4 separate regions of the Mus musculus genome follow, and regions 1, 2 and 3 are each reported to be linked to region 4. The links are microRNA targets in miRTarBase. Many come from high-throughput screens and were not tested one by one. Region 4 holds a microRNA gene; each other region holds the end of a gene's coding sequence.
The links. Region 4 holds the annotated microRNA mmu-miR-297a-5p (AUGUAUGUGUGCAUGUGCAUGU, at 1,409-1,430, shown strand). A microRNA usually pairs through its seed, bases 2 to 8, with sites in the 3' UTR of a target mRNA and lowers its output. Matches are read on the target gene's strand: a 7mer-m8 pairs with bases 2 to 8, a 7mer-A1 pairs with bases 2 to 7 and ends in A, and an 8mer does both.

Region 1 (3,606 bases), not on the chromosome of region 4:
TAATTGAGTTTACTCCAGCCAGCAACATCACCTTTCTCCCCCCGTCGCTGAAACTCCTGAAGTCCTACAGAGTTCTAAAATGGAGGGCTGACAGTCCCTCCATGAACTCAAGGTTCTGGAAGAATCTTGTTTACCTGATGCCCGCAAAAGCCGTCAAGCCATGGAGAGAGGAGTCGGAGGCGCGGTCTGTTCTCTCAGCACCTTGAGCTCCAGACGAGCTTGATGTCAAAAGCAAGTGAAGCGCTGCTAGAGGTCATGCGTGTGCCTATTCACAGCGGTAGCTGTGGTTCAAAAGGCTGAATTTTGTGACTATACCCCCCACTCCCAGTTAGGAGAGTTGTCATCGGGTCATCACAGATGAAACAGAGCCTTGGTTGTGATCCTGAACTCGCAGAGGGGGCCTTGGGATTCACAAGAAATCAGTTTGTTATTCTTTCTTCCTCTGGAGCAGTGATTCCCAACCTGTGGGTTGTGGCCCCTTTGGCAAACCTTTATCTCCAAAATAGATGTACGCTATGATTCATAACTGTAGCCAACTCACAGTTACAAAGTAGCAACGAAAAAAGTTTTATGGTTGGGGGTTTCACCACAGTGTGAAGAACTGTATTAAAGGGTTGAAGCATTAGGAAGGTTGAGAACCGCTGGCCTAGAGCTGTCTGCATACCGTTCCATTCAGCCAAGATGGAGGTAGGCTGGCAAACTGATTTATGCCCCTAAATAAGGCACCTCTTCAGAATTTTTCAACTAACAGTGGATTCCAACTGGAGAATTTTATGCGCTCCGAGGCATTTTCTATGAGCCAATCTTTACTGCATCTCAAGGGTACATGGCTCTCTCCCAGGCTTGGGAGGTGCAAGAGGTGAGAGAAAAAGCTGGAAACACAAGAGAAATGGGATGAGAGAAAGCTCCAGGAACTTGGCTTCAGGATGAGTTTGGTGTTGCAAGGTAGTTCTTAGAAAGTCAGTCAGACGTCAAGCAGGACTTCCTTGTTTCTTCAACCTTTTCGTACATCCTTTGAAATGGAACCTGCGATATCGTTTATTGCAGACAGAAGTTTAAATTCAGAGAACTCAGTGGGCCTTTCAACTTTAGTGGCTTTAAGTTTTTGTTGGCTTTGTGTAAATGTTTATCTGTAGGATCATACTAGCTGCTAAACTGTAGCAAACAATCAACAAATGCTTGCTGTTTTTATGAGCCAATTCTGGTGCCCTGGGCATGCAGGCAGTTTTGGTGTGGCAGTTGACGGTGTGGTATGTGCAGCCAAATTTGATGGACAATCTTGGATTTTGTGAGCTCTGGAATTTTATCCAACTTCTCATACTTCAGTTTACTCATTTCTAAAATCAGAGTTTAAAGTAAATACAGCTAGTTCCCAAGGGCACTAAAGACTACTCTGTAAACATGGCTCTTATTGTTGATGGCAGTAACTGCTCTCATTCATTGGCTCAGTGATTCCACAGTAGAGGGAATGGGAGCCAGAGAGCAGGTTGGGAAATGGGTCTACAAATAGGAGCAACAAGTGGAGAGGGCAGAGGAGAAACATAGCAGTAGAAGAAACACAATATACATAAGCATACACACATAAACATACATACATACAAAAACACACATACAAACAGAAACACACATAAACACAAACATAGAACCGCACACACAGAAACACATACAAACATACATACACACACATACACACACACACACACACACACACACACACACACACACACACACAACACCTCCTGCTGAAATATGCATCTCTCGGCACTGGAAGATACTTTTGTTTCTCTAAAGAGAGTTGTCACACTGGGGCCTCCTCCATGGTTCAAAACAGTAGCTGTCTGTGGGAATTGCCCCCCGCTCCCATGTGTGTGTGTGTGTGTGTGTGTGTGTGTGTGTGTGTGTGTCTGTCTGTCTGTGTGTGTGTAGGTGTATGCTACCCTTGCATAAAAAAGAAGATTCAGAGAAGCCCAAAGCTTCTTGTGACCTTGCAAGTGCCTGAGTGAAGCAAGAATATTCTAGGGAAGTCTAGAGCAGAGACTGTGCTGAACAAACACAGTAGATTTTAGGAAAACCAAACCAAACCAAATGAAAGGAAAGGAAACAGAAAAAAAAACAAGAAGAATGGGGATTCTTAAGTAATTTTTGTAACTCATGACTTCATGTGCTATTTGACTGACTTGAGAAAAGAAGGTAAATTCATTCAACATCTGCTGTCACAACAGCTGTGTGTGAAAACCTAGCATCAGAAGAGAGTTGGGAGAGTTTGAGACTTCGCTTTGTTCTTCTATCAGCCAAGCTTCGACACATGAAGTTTATTTTATATGAAATATATTTTGTATTAAATCTGCCAAATACATACATTAGACTGGAGATGTCTCTTGATGTCCTTTTCATTTGTCCTGAGGTTTCTTGACATCCTTTTCCTTTGTTTTGGTGAACACTGCACTGCCTGGTTTTCACCATGGATCCCCACCTGCTGTAAGGAGCTGAGGGAAATTTAATACAGCCCATCTGCAACTATCGCTTTAAAATCCTGTGTGTATATTTTTGAAAAATTTACTCTTTAAGAACGTCATATTTTATACAGTGAAATATTATACCCACACCCATTCTCTCTTGCCACCTCTCCCCAACATGTACCCCACGTAATTATCGCCCTCAGTTTTGAAATAACCTAAGTCCAGTTAGTGTTTCCTGTAGATGCAGCATGGGGCCACCCACTAGAACATGCACACACTAACTAGGAACCACAATTACAAAGAAGACCGATTCTATCTCCCCCAGCAGCTATCATCTGCCAACAGTTAGAGCCAGAAACCTCATGACATCTTTCCCATGGATGCTGCAGTGTTGGCTGGTTTGGTCTTGTGCTGCTGTGCAATCTCCAGCTCTCCCATTCTTCCTGCCTCCTCTTCCAGGATGGCCCCTGAGCTTTGGCAGGAGGCAAGGTGGAGCTAACAAAGATGTCTAATCAGGGCTGAGCACTCAGATTCACTTGCTCTCAGAACTTTGATCTGTTACGAGTCTTTCTTTGCATTGACTGCCACTCACCGAAAAAAAAAAGAGAAAGCTTTTTTAATCAAGGCTGAGAGAAGCCAAGGTCCACAGGCATAAACATAGACACTTAAAAGGAGTTTTGACAATATTGGCACTTAGCAACTTAACAATAGTTGGTCCCACCCTACGTGCTATGCTAGCCTTGGCCTTGTGACCATGTTGATAATATCAGGTATGACTTCCCTCCTGTGATTGCACAAGAACATCCTCAAGTACAAGCTGGATGTGGTTGGTTACAGCAAACACTCAGGCCACTAATGGCATTAGGCGTGGCTCAGAATAGGGAAAGAGCAAGGGGTTGTTCAGGGCTCCTTATACGCCATTCAGCTTGGGGTAAAAAGACAAAGCCAGATGAAAGCATTTCCTAAGTGAGACATGACTCTACATAGTATCCCCAAGATACATGGAGGGAAGACTAGAGAGGCGACGATCAGTGACAAGGCAGCCAAGGGACTCACTGAAGTGTGAGTGTGGGTGGAGGCTGCTGGGAAGGATCTCAGGAGCTACCGGCTCCTGAAGTGTGGCTCTGAAGAAGAAATGAAAGCTAGG
Region 2 (3,685 bases), not on the chromosome of region 4:
GGAAAGCCAAAAGATAACCCTGGATCACTTTGAACTGGAGGTGTTTTTTTTTGTTTTGTTTTAAAGATTTATTTATTTATTGTAAGTATACTGTAGCTGTCTTCAGACACACCAGAAGAGTGTATCCAATCTCATTACAGATGGTTGTGAGTCACCATGTGGTTGCTGGGATTTGAACTCAGGACCTTCTGAAGAGCAGTCAGTGCTCTTATCTGCTGAGCCATCTCTCCAGCCCAGCCCTATTTATTCATTTTTAGTTTTGTTTTTCTTTTTCCTTTTTTTTTTTTTTAAGTTTTGTTTTTCAAGACAGGGTTTCTCTATATAGCCCAGGCTGTCCTGGAACTGGTTCTGTAGACTAGGCTGGCCTTGAACTGAGAGATCTGCCTGCTGGAATTAAAGGCATGCACCACCATTGATGAGCAAGAGAAAGAGAGAGAGAGAGAGAGAGAGAGAGAGAGAGAGAGAGAGAAGGAAGCAGCAAATTATCCTGGTAGGGAGGGACAGGACAGTGTCAGAGGCCTGGTGATGTCTACGTATCTGAAAGGAAGGATCCTTCCTCTCCTGGATGGAGCTGTCATAGGGTAATCATGGTTTGAATACAGAGCGGGGTAAATAGAGAAGCCTAGTTTTCTCCTATCTAAGAACTAATCAGACCCAACCCTGCTTACCTTCCAAGATGTGTTTGAGATAATATGGCTAAAGACAAAATCTAGCTTTCTTTTCTTTCCCGTTTTTTGTTTTGTTTTTATTTTGTTCTGTAGACCAGGATAACTTTTTTTTTTTTCCGAGACAGGGTTTCTCTGTGTAGCCCTGGCTGTCTTGGAACTCACACTGTAGACCAGGCTGGCCTTGAACTCAGAAATCCGCCTGCCTTTGCCTCCTGAGTGCTGGAATTAAAGGCGTGTGCCACCACTGTCTAGCTTTTTTAACAGAGGACTGAGGAGGGAGCCCCAGGGAACTGGGAAATGCTACAAAGATCAAATAGAGTCAGGAACTTATGACTGTGACCCCTATAAAGTAATGAGACGGGAGGCTCATCCCCTGGGTGCCCATATATCCTACAGATCTTACCATCAATCTGGTCTTAGACTGAACACTGGAGTATTCACATGGGCCAGGTCTGAACAGCTCCATAGCATCAATAACGCCTGACAAGCCAGGCAGTGGTGGCGCACGCCTTTAGTCCAGGACTCAGGAGGCAGAGGCAGGCGGATTTCTGAGTTCAAGGCCAGCCTGGTCTACAAAGTGAGTTCCAAGACAACCAGGGCTACAGAGAAACTTTTTTAAAGGGGTGGGGTAAACCAGGCGTAGTGGCACACTCGGGAGGCAGAGGCAGGCGGATTTCTGAGTTCGAGGCCAACCTGGTCTACAAAGTGAGTTCTAGAGAACTCACAGAGAAACCCTGTCCCGAAAAGAGAGAGAGAGAGAGAGAGAGAGAGAGAGAGAGAGAGAGAGAGAGAGAGAGAGAACAAAAGAAACAAACCAAATCACAGATTACATCAAAAAAAGAAAGAGGAAGAAAGAAAAAGGATAAAAGAGCAGAGGTCTGCAGCATTTCAGAGCCAAGCCTGCATGGAGCGGCACACTTCACCCGAGCAATGTGCTCCGTTAAGGAATCATAGTTGTGTGGTCTTTCTCGAGAACCTGGGAATCAGCCTGATCCCCACCTTCCTACTCCTCCACTCCTGATTTATGGGCCCTGATGCCCTGAGACTGCAGCCCCCAACACAGGAGGGAAAGGGACAAAGAATAAGTCCAGGGGACCTTACTGATGGTCAATGCACGTACAGTCTTTATTGTAAAGAAGTTGCAGTTGTAACAGGGGACACTGAAAATACACAATCATGGATTGTTCTTTCAGAGGAAAAGGAATAGATCCATATATACAAAAATTGTAAACATGTTCACTTAAATATCCACATGATTGGTCTATGCTACAACGTACAGGGTTGTCATTCAACTGCAACTCCACAGGGAGGCATTTTGTCTGGAAGAATGAGACATGGCAACGAGTTTGGTTTTGACTTGATGTGAAAAGCCAGCTTCAAGCAATGTATGAGTAGTCTGCTATGCACAAGGACCCACACCTGGTCTGGGCCTTAAAAGGGGATAGAAGATAGACTAGGGAGGGACTGGTTCAGGAAGCCAAGGTTAAGCCATTTACAGGAACGACTCTCCAGTGACACCCTGGGCAGATGAGACCTTTAGTCCTCTCCTTGTAAGAGTCTTGTCTTGCCTGGCACCCAGGTACCCAGCTGTCTGTTCCCTAGGGAAGGTCTTACTGAAGGGCGGGTGCCCAGGCCCATAGTTGTCTATACCTTCCTGGCCAGAAACACCTGGGCAGGAGCCACACAGAGAGGGGCGGCTTATGGGGGCACTATGAGATGAGACCTGAAGACTTAATCACAATCACGACACCGACAGGGCTGAGCTGCTCTAGGGATCCTGTAAGAGGAGGGGAGGGAGCCTCTGGACAGGGTGGACCACCATGTGGAGCCAGGGACATGGGACTGGGAACAAGGGCCATAATCCCCACCTAAGGGTACAATTAGTCTCCCTCTCCCTGGTCCCCAGAGCCCTTGCACCCTGAGCTGGGAGGCAGCTGGACTTCTGACCTAGAGTGGACAGGTGAGTCCCTGGTTGGCTGGCCCATAAAAGGAATGCCTCCCAGGCCAGTCCACTCCAAGAAGTAGTTTTCTTCTCAGGGCCTTAAGACTGAGATCTCTGGCTAGGGGGGAACTTTGTGGGGACAGTCCAGGCACCAGGGAGGCTACTCCCCTTGGTCCCAGAGGCCCATAGTGGCCACCTTCTCTGTCCTTGGCACGGTAGGACCCAGAAAAGGTCTCAGGAGGCCTTGAGGCCTACGGTGGTGAGGTGGCCTTCCAGCCCTGGCCGGAGCCTAACACCTACTAATAGGCAGGCACCTGGTACCCTTTGGAGCTGGTGTCCAGGGTCTCAGTGAAGGGCGGGCTCTGGTATGTTTCTGTACCCTCCACACCACTGCCCACTGGGTAGCCTGGGTAGGCCTGGGCAGCCCCAGTACCTAGCTGATCTGTGGCAAAGAGAGACATATCGGTGCCTAGGCGGAACCGCTGCAGGGCCTTCACGGTGAGCGCCACCTGGGTGAGGGAATCAGGGTCAGCTGGGGAAAACCTGGAGACACCCCCAACCCTGCCACCCACGGGTCCCTCACTCACCCAGCTGAGGATGGAGAAGAAGCTGAAAGCGATGGCAGCACGCGCCGCATCTCCAGCCTGCGCGGTGCCTGGCCCTGGCGTTGTTCGTTGCCACTGATTGGTGAGGAAACAGAAGCCTACGAACCACAGGAAGGACCAGACCCCTGCAGGTGGGAGCTGATGATCAGATAGTGCTCCGCCAACAGGACCCACCTCGCGCATTCAGAGAAAGTGCAATGTCCCTTAGGTTCACCAGCAAATTGCCATTCACATGACCTCCAAAGCCCCGCCCCCTTCGAAGCCCAGCCTTACTCCGCCCATCAGCCACCTCTTTCTCTAGTCCTGGCGTGCCCTAAAGAGATTCTGTGCTTTCTCTTTCTTTCTTTCTTTCTTTCTTTCTTTCTTTCTTTCTTTCTTTCTTTCTTTCTTTCTTTCTTTCTTTCTTTCTTTCTTTCTTTCTTTCTTTCTTTCTTTCTTTCTTTCTTTCTTTCTTTCTTTCTTTCTTTTCT
Region 3 (3,685 bases), not on the chromosome of region 4:
GCTCCTACAGTAGATAGACAGCAACATCTAAATTTCTGGATGCCATAATTGCTCAGCCTCGAAGAACAAGATGCTGAACTAAGCGCTGTGAACTTTATCTCTGAGAAAATGAGATCAGTTTGTCCCCTTTGCGTAGTCATCTAATGAGATTTTTAAAAAAATGATTTTAATAATCATCACACAAGCTCATTAGAAGCTTAGCATTGTGGTGTATGCCTTTGATCTCAGCAATAGGGAGGCTGAGACAGGAGGATTTCCCTGAGTTTAAGGCCATCATGGGTTACAGAGAGTCAATCTGGAGCATAGAGTAAAACCAATCTAAGTCAAATAAAAACTTGCAGAAAGTATATAGAATGAGAACCAACCTATGGGTCCTTCTCTAAGGAAACGAGCACGCACTGTTGGATTTACAAATTTCAAATGGGCAAGCCCTGACATGAAACTCTCTTTCCCCATTCAGGTTCACCACAAAGCACTTGAATGATGAATCGACTTCCAAACAGATTCGAGCGATGCTTCAGTAGAGGCCTGCTCAGAGAGGAGGATCTATGCTGACCTCAGAAGATGTAGATGTTTACATAATTTAATACAGATTGATGTTAATACTTGTGTATTTACATAACCATTTCCTTCTTGTCACTGAAATATATGGACCTGAATTTGTATCCTGACTGATTCAACCCAGCCGAGCATAAATTGACTTGAGCGCCTTACCTTTGATGTCTGAAGCGAAACTCCTTTCACCAAGGGCCAGATTCGGAAACTTCAACCTTGGCTGCTGGAGTCCTGTAGTGATACCTGTAACAATCAGAAATTCTTAATCGCTTGTGGTATGGTTTTAATTCTAGATGTTTTATCTCTCTGGGAGTATAGTTTATAGAAACACAAAGTACTTGATTTCCTGTGTCGGCTCAGATACAAGAAACACACACAACTGTTACCCTGACAGAGAACAGAGAGAGAAGATCCAAGATAAGAAAACTGCATGTGGAGAGCGGCGCACAAGAGTTCTGAGTTCAGCACGTCCCCCACCCTCTTCCTGCCGCCTGCAAACCTCACGTGCAGCTTTTCTATATGCACGTGTTTTATTAATCTGAATATTCTCCTTCTGTCTCGGTTTGTGTCCCTTTCATTCCCTTTTAGTATTTGCAAGAGGAAAATTGTCTGTGTTTTAATCAGCTAATGAGGAGGCTATGGGATGGACAGAGGGCTTCTTGCAGGAGAATTGAGAAAAGTGACTATCTTAAGAATATTATTTCTTTTTTTAAAAAAGAATATTAGAGAGAAAGAGAGAGAGAGAGAGTTGGCATAAGGACAGTCTTATCTGTGTCAACCCTCTGCCTGCAGGGACAGATAAATGGAACTCTGGTTGTGATATCATAACTAAGATCAGTCACCTCCCAGGAGTCTGCAGAGTTCTAGGTACACCACCCGTCTTAATATGGGAGCTCCCATTCTGTATCAAAATGGACTGTTCATATCAGAGCTGAGAACTAAAGCACTTCGTTCATTATCAGAAAACTGGAGGAATTTAGAGAGAGGAAATCTACGATTTCTAATTACCTGGAGTCAGCCCCCACTAGTCTGAGTACTTCGGCAAATTCACTTTTTGTCTCACCTTCATCATATGGCTCAGTGGTTAAGAGTACCTGTTGCTGTTGCAGAGGACCTGGATTGGATTCCCAGCACCCACTCAGTGGCCCACAACTATCCAATACTCCCGATGCATGGGATCCAGTGCCCTCTTCTGATCTCTATGGGCATCAGGCATGCACACAGTACACTTATATACATGCAGAAAAAAATACTGAGACACATGAAATAAGATAAATCTTTTTTTTAAATCTAAAATGGAAGGCTACTAGGAGCCACTACACTAACCTTTCTTCATGCATAAATCCAATGAGTACTACCCCACCCATCTTGATGAATATCAATATCTTCAGGACTGCAATCATTCTGCCTATAGGTCAGAACTGAGCTAGGATGGAATCTTGAAACATATTCTGACCTCCAATGAAAAGATATGGGCATACAAGGTGAGTTGTACGTAGAACTAAATCCTTGAGTGTTTCCCACCTGACTCTACTATACTCTTCCTGATCACCATGTGGCCTAAGAATATATACTATGGAGTCTATGGACCACTGTAGAGAAGTTTTTAGTCTAGCCTGTTTGATTACTTGTAAATCTCTGCTAGAAGGAGAGAATTTTCCAGACAACTGAATGAATGATAATCCTGGAAGTCAGGTCTAGGATGATTAGGGTGTGGTATTATTTGGTTTGCAACATCCCAAGGCAATACTTCCAGACTAAGGTGGCCATCCAGCATTCCTTTGAGTCCTCCAAGAAAGATGATACTTGGTTCATTTCAAAAAACCAAATGCAGACAAATGGGAGAACCAGTTCCCCAGCTTATGTTAGCATAGTCAACAGCGAGCATAAAGACTTTGTCACTTGGAGCGTTACCAGCAGAGTAAATGTGGCCATTGACTGGCCTAAGCATTCTCTAAGAGTTGTGCTAGATGGCTTCCATGATCTTGTCAAACCTAGAAATTCCAAAATCTCGAGGAAGCTAGAAAACACAATCCTGTGGCAGTAAGACATTCTCCAGTGTTCAGCTTTAGGGATTTTCTATTTGGCAGCCATAGGCAATGCTTATTTGGGCAACTCTCACGCCTACAAGAGCAGAGATGCACAATAAGCATTTGTCCATTTGCTCTTTCCTCAACAGAGGAGATTAGGATTTCAAAGAACAAAGAACTGCCCAGTTTCTATTGGGCTCTTAGACACAGACCTGAGCCATGAACCCAAGCCACGTATCTACACCATAGCTGCCTCTCAGCTGGCTACATAAGGAAACATTAGGGATTAACTGTCAGAATATACATACATACATACATACATACATACATAAATAAATAAATAAATAAATAAATAATAGCTTAGGACATTTGTAACTCTTAGTTAGACTTTCTATTAAATGGGACCAAATGTGTGTATGGGTGCTGTCAGTCTGCTTCAGTCTAGCCAGTCCAGTATCTCCAAGATGAGACTCAACAGGACTTGGATTTTGAGAAGCCCAGGCTCTAAATAATAGCCTCAGGTCATCAGGGGGACAGACTGAGTGTCTGTGATCACTAACAGGGAGTGGGCCTTGAGTCCACTCCAGAACTGTGGTGGGAGACCAATACTCTTAACAGACTGTCCAGTAGGTATCGGGAATCCTTGAACAATTTGGGTTTTCTTCCCCTTTTTTCTCTTTCGTGCTGCATGCACATTTATCCAACACTCACGGGTTGTTTGGGAAAAAGTACCAGCAATGATGTCGATGTTAATAATACTTCATAATTGATATCTTATAGCTTTCAAGTAAAGTGTTTTCTATAACTCAGATAATTAATTTGAAGCAAGAAAGAAGGTAAAAATGAGGTTTCCCAGCCATGTTGCTGCTTTTGGCATGGTCGCTTCTCTGAGGTTCACCTAGGCTTTCACAGCAAAAGTTGGGTGGAAAGAGAAATTTTTATTTGTGATGACACAATAGAGCCAGAATATTAGCTAACAACGTTGAAGGAGGTGTTGGGTGTTTTTAAATATTTAGTTAATATATTCCTCATGGACATAAAATACATTCTTAGTTATTATCATTATGTCAAACAAGAATGGCAAGCCTAAGTTTGTGAGG
Region 4 (3,685 bases):
TAGAGATTATGCAGGGCTGGATCAGTGGGTGCTCTCACTCACAAGGTGAAAATGCTTGCCAGAGTCAGGAGGATCAGGAGTGGAAATTCATTCTCAAATTCATGAGTCCAGGATCAGCTTCGGATTCTAGTGATGCCCCCAGTGTATGTGCCTGTGTGTATATGTATGTGTGCATGTGCATGTGTGTATATGAATATACATATACATACACACATACCCATACAAACATGCACACAAACACACAGAAAATTGACACTCATCGATCCATTTCAATGATATGTGAGTCTTAGAGATTCTGTATGACTGGGCCACAGAGAGGTCTCACTCACCAGGTGACGCCCCTTGCCAGAGCCAGGATGATCAGGAGTGCAAATTCATGTTCACTGCATGATGAGGTAGAGATCAACCTGGCATTCATGTGATGACCCCTATGTATGTGCATGTGTGTTTGTGTGTACATGTACATGTATATATATATTGATATACATATAAATACATGCACACATATTCATGCATGCACACGCACACATTAATGGCACTCTTAGATCCATTTGAATAACATGTGACTTAGAGGTGAGAGATTATGCAGTACGGGGACAGTGAGTGTTCTCACTCATCAGGTGTAGACAACTGCCAGAGTCAGGTCTATCAGGAGCTTAAATGCATGCTTACACTCATGAGGACTTAGAGATCAGCCTGTGATTTATGTGATTCCCCCCATGCATGTGAACGTGTGTATAGTTGTGTGTGCATGTGTGTATATGAATATATATAACATCCACACATGTATAAATGCAAGCACAGAAACACACAAACATAGGAATGGTACTCATCGATCCATTTGAATGATATATGACTTAGAGTTTTAGAGATTATGCAGTAGAGGGACAGTGAATGGTCTCAATCACCAGGTGTAAATGATTGACAAAGTCAGGAGGATCAGGAGTTCAAACTCCATTTAGAGATCATCCTGGTATTCATTTGATGCCACCCATGTATGTGCACGTGTGCTTACATGTGTGTGCATGTTCATGAATGTATATGGATATGCATGTGCAGACACACACACACATGCAACACACACACAAACACATGGTGACTTGCATTCATCTACTTGCATAATATGTGACTAAGAGTTTTAAAGATTATGCAGTACTGTGCCCGTGCATGCTCTTACTCAACAGGTCAAAGTGCTTGCCAGAGTCAGGCCTTAAAGGTATGTGACTTAGAGTTTGAGAGATTATGCAGGGCTGGATCAGTGGGTGCTCTCACTCACAAGGTGAAAATGCTTGCCAGAGTCAGGAGGATCAGGAGTGGAAATTCATTCTCAAATTCATGATTAGGTAGGGATCAGCTTCAGATTCATGTGATGGCGCCCCCCCCCCCCAGTGTATGTGCCTGTGTGTATATGTATGTGTGCATGTGCATGTGTGTATATGAGTATACATATACATACACACATACCCATACAAGCATGCACACAAATACACGCAAAATCGCCACTCATGGATCCATTTGAATGATATGTGACTTAGTCTTAGAGGTTCTGTATGACTGGGCCAGTGCGTGATCTCACTCACCGGGTGAATAATCCTTCCAGAGTCAGGAGGATCAGGAATTCGAATTCATGCTTAACTTCATAATGAGTTAGAGATCAGATGCGATTCGTGTGATGCCCACCAAAAATGTGCATGGGTGTATAGTTGTGTGCATATTCATTTCTCTATATGAATATGCATATACACGCAAGCACACACAGGAATGGCACTCATATATCCTTTTGAATGGTATGTGACTTAGAGCTTTAGAGTTTATCCAGTAACGGACCAGAGCTATGTCTCAGTTAGGAGGTGAGTATTCTTGCCAGAGTCAGGAGGATCAGGAGGTCTAATTTATGTTTAACTTCCTGATGAGTTAGAGATCATCCTGGCATTCATGTGATGCCCACCAATAATGTGCATGTGTGTATAGTTGTGTGCATATTCATTTCTCTATATGACTATGCATATACACACATGCATACAAACTCACATACAGGAATGACAGTCATATATCCTTTTGAATGATATGTGACTCAGAGCTTTAGAGCTTATGCAGTACTGGGCCAGAGCTATGCCTCAGTTAGGAGGTGGATACTCTTTCCAGAGTCAGGAGGATACGGAGTTCAAATTCATGTTTAACTTCATGATGAGTTAGAGATCAGCCTGGAATTCATTTGATTGTCCTTGTGTATGTGTATATATGTGTAGGTAAGTGTGCTTGTACATGCATGTATATGAACATACACACACACATACATATACACATAAGAATGGCAGTCATAGATCTGTTTGATTTATATGTGCTTAGAGTTTTATAGAGTGTATAATTATGGGTCAGTGTTACATCTAACTCACCAGGTGAAAACCACTTGCCAGAGTTAGAAGGATCAGGAATTTAAATTCATGCTTAACTTCCTGATAAGTTTGTGATCATCCTGGCATTCATGTGATGCCCACCAAAAATATGCATGGGTGTATAGTTGAGTGCATATTCATTTCTCTATATGAATATGCATATACACACATGCACACACACACACACTCACACACAGGAATGACACTCGTTTATCCTTTTGAATGGTATGTGACTCAGAGCTTTAGAGCTTATGCAGTACTGGGCCAGAGCTATGTCTCAGTTAGGAGGTGAATACTCTTGCCAGCGTCAGGAGGTCCTGGAGTTCAAATTCATGTTTCACTTCATGATGAGTTAGAGATCAGCATGCGATTCATGTGATGCCCTCCCCCATGTATGTGCATGGGTTCATACTTATGTGTGCATGTAAATGTATGTATATGAATGTTCACATACATATACATAAACACACACACTGGCATTCACCTACACGCACATTAGTGGCTCTGATCGATCTATTTGAATGAGATGTGACTCAGAGCTTTAGAGCTTATGCAGAACGGATCCAGGGCTAGTTCTCCCTCCAGGTGAAAATGGCTTCTGTGGAAACCTGACAGCCTGAGTTGGATCTCTGGAACTCAGCACACAGGCAGGCTATGGTGTGATTCTTTTGGTTTTTCGTACACCTGATGATTTTCTTTGAGTTTTCAGATTGCAATATATCTTAATTTAAAATTTATCGTTCATCTGGCTCGGGAGACTGGAATACCTCCCTCATTAATAGCTGTCTTCTCTTTCATTCTCTATGAAAAAGGTCACTTTTAATTGAATGGGGTTAAGAGGTAAAGCTGGGTTGCTCTTAATATTGAAAACATTTCTGGTCGTTAAAAACTAAGAATCCTTTTGCTTATTTAATAATTCTTTAAGAATTTTTTTAAAGTGTTGTTTTTCCCTGTCAACACTTGATATTTATATGATATTAGAGTCTATTTTTGGTGATATCTTTGTCTCCTAACATAATTCAAACTAGAATGCTGTGCTTGCTTTTACACAGAGAAGTGCTTTAATTGTTGTACGAAATGTGTCCCAGCCTAATTCTTTTTCTGTAAGAAGCAGCGTTGTGGCTAGTGTTCAGGTCAAATGGACTCTCTGGTTCCTCTGCCCTTGCCTAAGGTTCTGTTGTTTTTCTGCAGTATTCCCTGATCGTAAATAAGAAGAACTCATGGGAATGCATGAATGCCTACTGTTTTAAATGACCTTGGAGCACCCTGAGACATAGGCGAATATTGCA

Region 1: miRTarBase lists Il18r1 as a target of mmu-miR-297a-5p. Seed matches in the 3' UTR shown: 7mer-m8 at 1,586-1,592, 7mer-m8 at 1,590-1,596, 8mer at 1,594-1,601, 8mer at 1,608-1,615, 8mer at 1,662-1,669, 7mer-m8 at 1,670-1,676 and 3 more.
Region 2: the mRNA of Syngr3 is a reported target of mmu-miR-297a-5p. The part of its 3' UTR that is shown has no 7-base or 8-base seed match.
Region 3: miRTarBase lists Cyria as a target of mmu-miR-297a-5p. Seed matches in the 3' UTR shown: 7mer-A1 at 2,032-2,038, 7mer-m8 at 2,888-2,894, 7mer-m8 at 2,892-2,898, 7mer-m8 at 2,896-2,902, 7mer-m8 at 2,900-2,906, 7mer-m8 at 2,904-2,910 and 1 more.

Annotation. Positions count from the first base shown.
Region 1 is chr1:40,498,485-40,502,090 of GRCm38, forward strand. It overlaps Il18r1 (interleukin 18 receptor 1), which reads left to right. Exons shown (of 11, transcript NM_008365.2): 11 at 1-2,370. The coding sequence ends at 206. Among named protein-coding and RNA genes, the nearest start is that of Il18rap, 15 kb to the right of the region's middle.
Region 2 is chr17:24,683,322-24,687,006 of GRCm38, forward strand. Syngr3 (synaptogyrin 3) reads right to left here. Exons shown (of 4, transcript NM_011522.3): 3 at 3,198-3,340; 4 at 1,771-3,119. The coding sequence ends at 2,910. Among named protein-coding and RNA genes, the nearest start is that of Syngr3, 4.8 kb to the right of the region's middle.
Region 3 is chr12:12,372,287-12,375,971 of GRCm38, forward strand. It overlaps Cyria (CYFIP related Rac1 interactor A), which reads left to right. Exons shown (of 12, transcript NM_001146119.2): 12 at 461-3,685. The coding sequence ends at 524. It overlaps 4921511I17Rik (RIKEN cDNA 4921511I17 gene), which reads right to left. Exons shown (of 5, transcript NR_045829.1): 3 at 715-798. Among named protein-coding and RNA genes, the nearest start is that of 4921511I17Rik, 18 kb to the right of the region's middle.
Region 4 is chr2:10,515,669-10,519,353 of GRCm38, forward strand. It overlaps Mir297a-4 (microRNA 297a-4), which reads left to right and starts at 1,399; the gene lies at 1,399-1,496. All of the region lies in intron 10 of Sfmbt2 (Scm-like with four mbt domains 2), which reads left to right. It overlaps Mir466l (microRNA 466l), which reads left to right and starts at 429; the gene lies at 429-549. It overlaps Mir669i (microRNA 669i), which reads left to right and starts at 1,936; the gene lies at 1,936-2,062. It also overlaps Mir669h and Mir297a-3.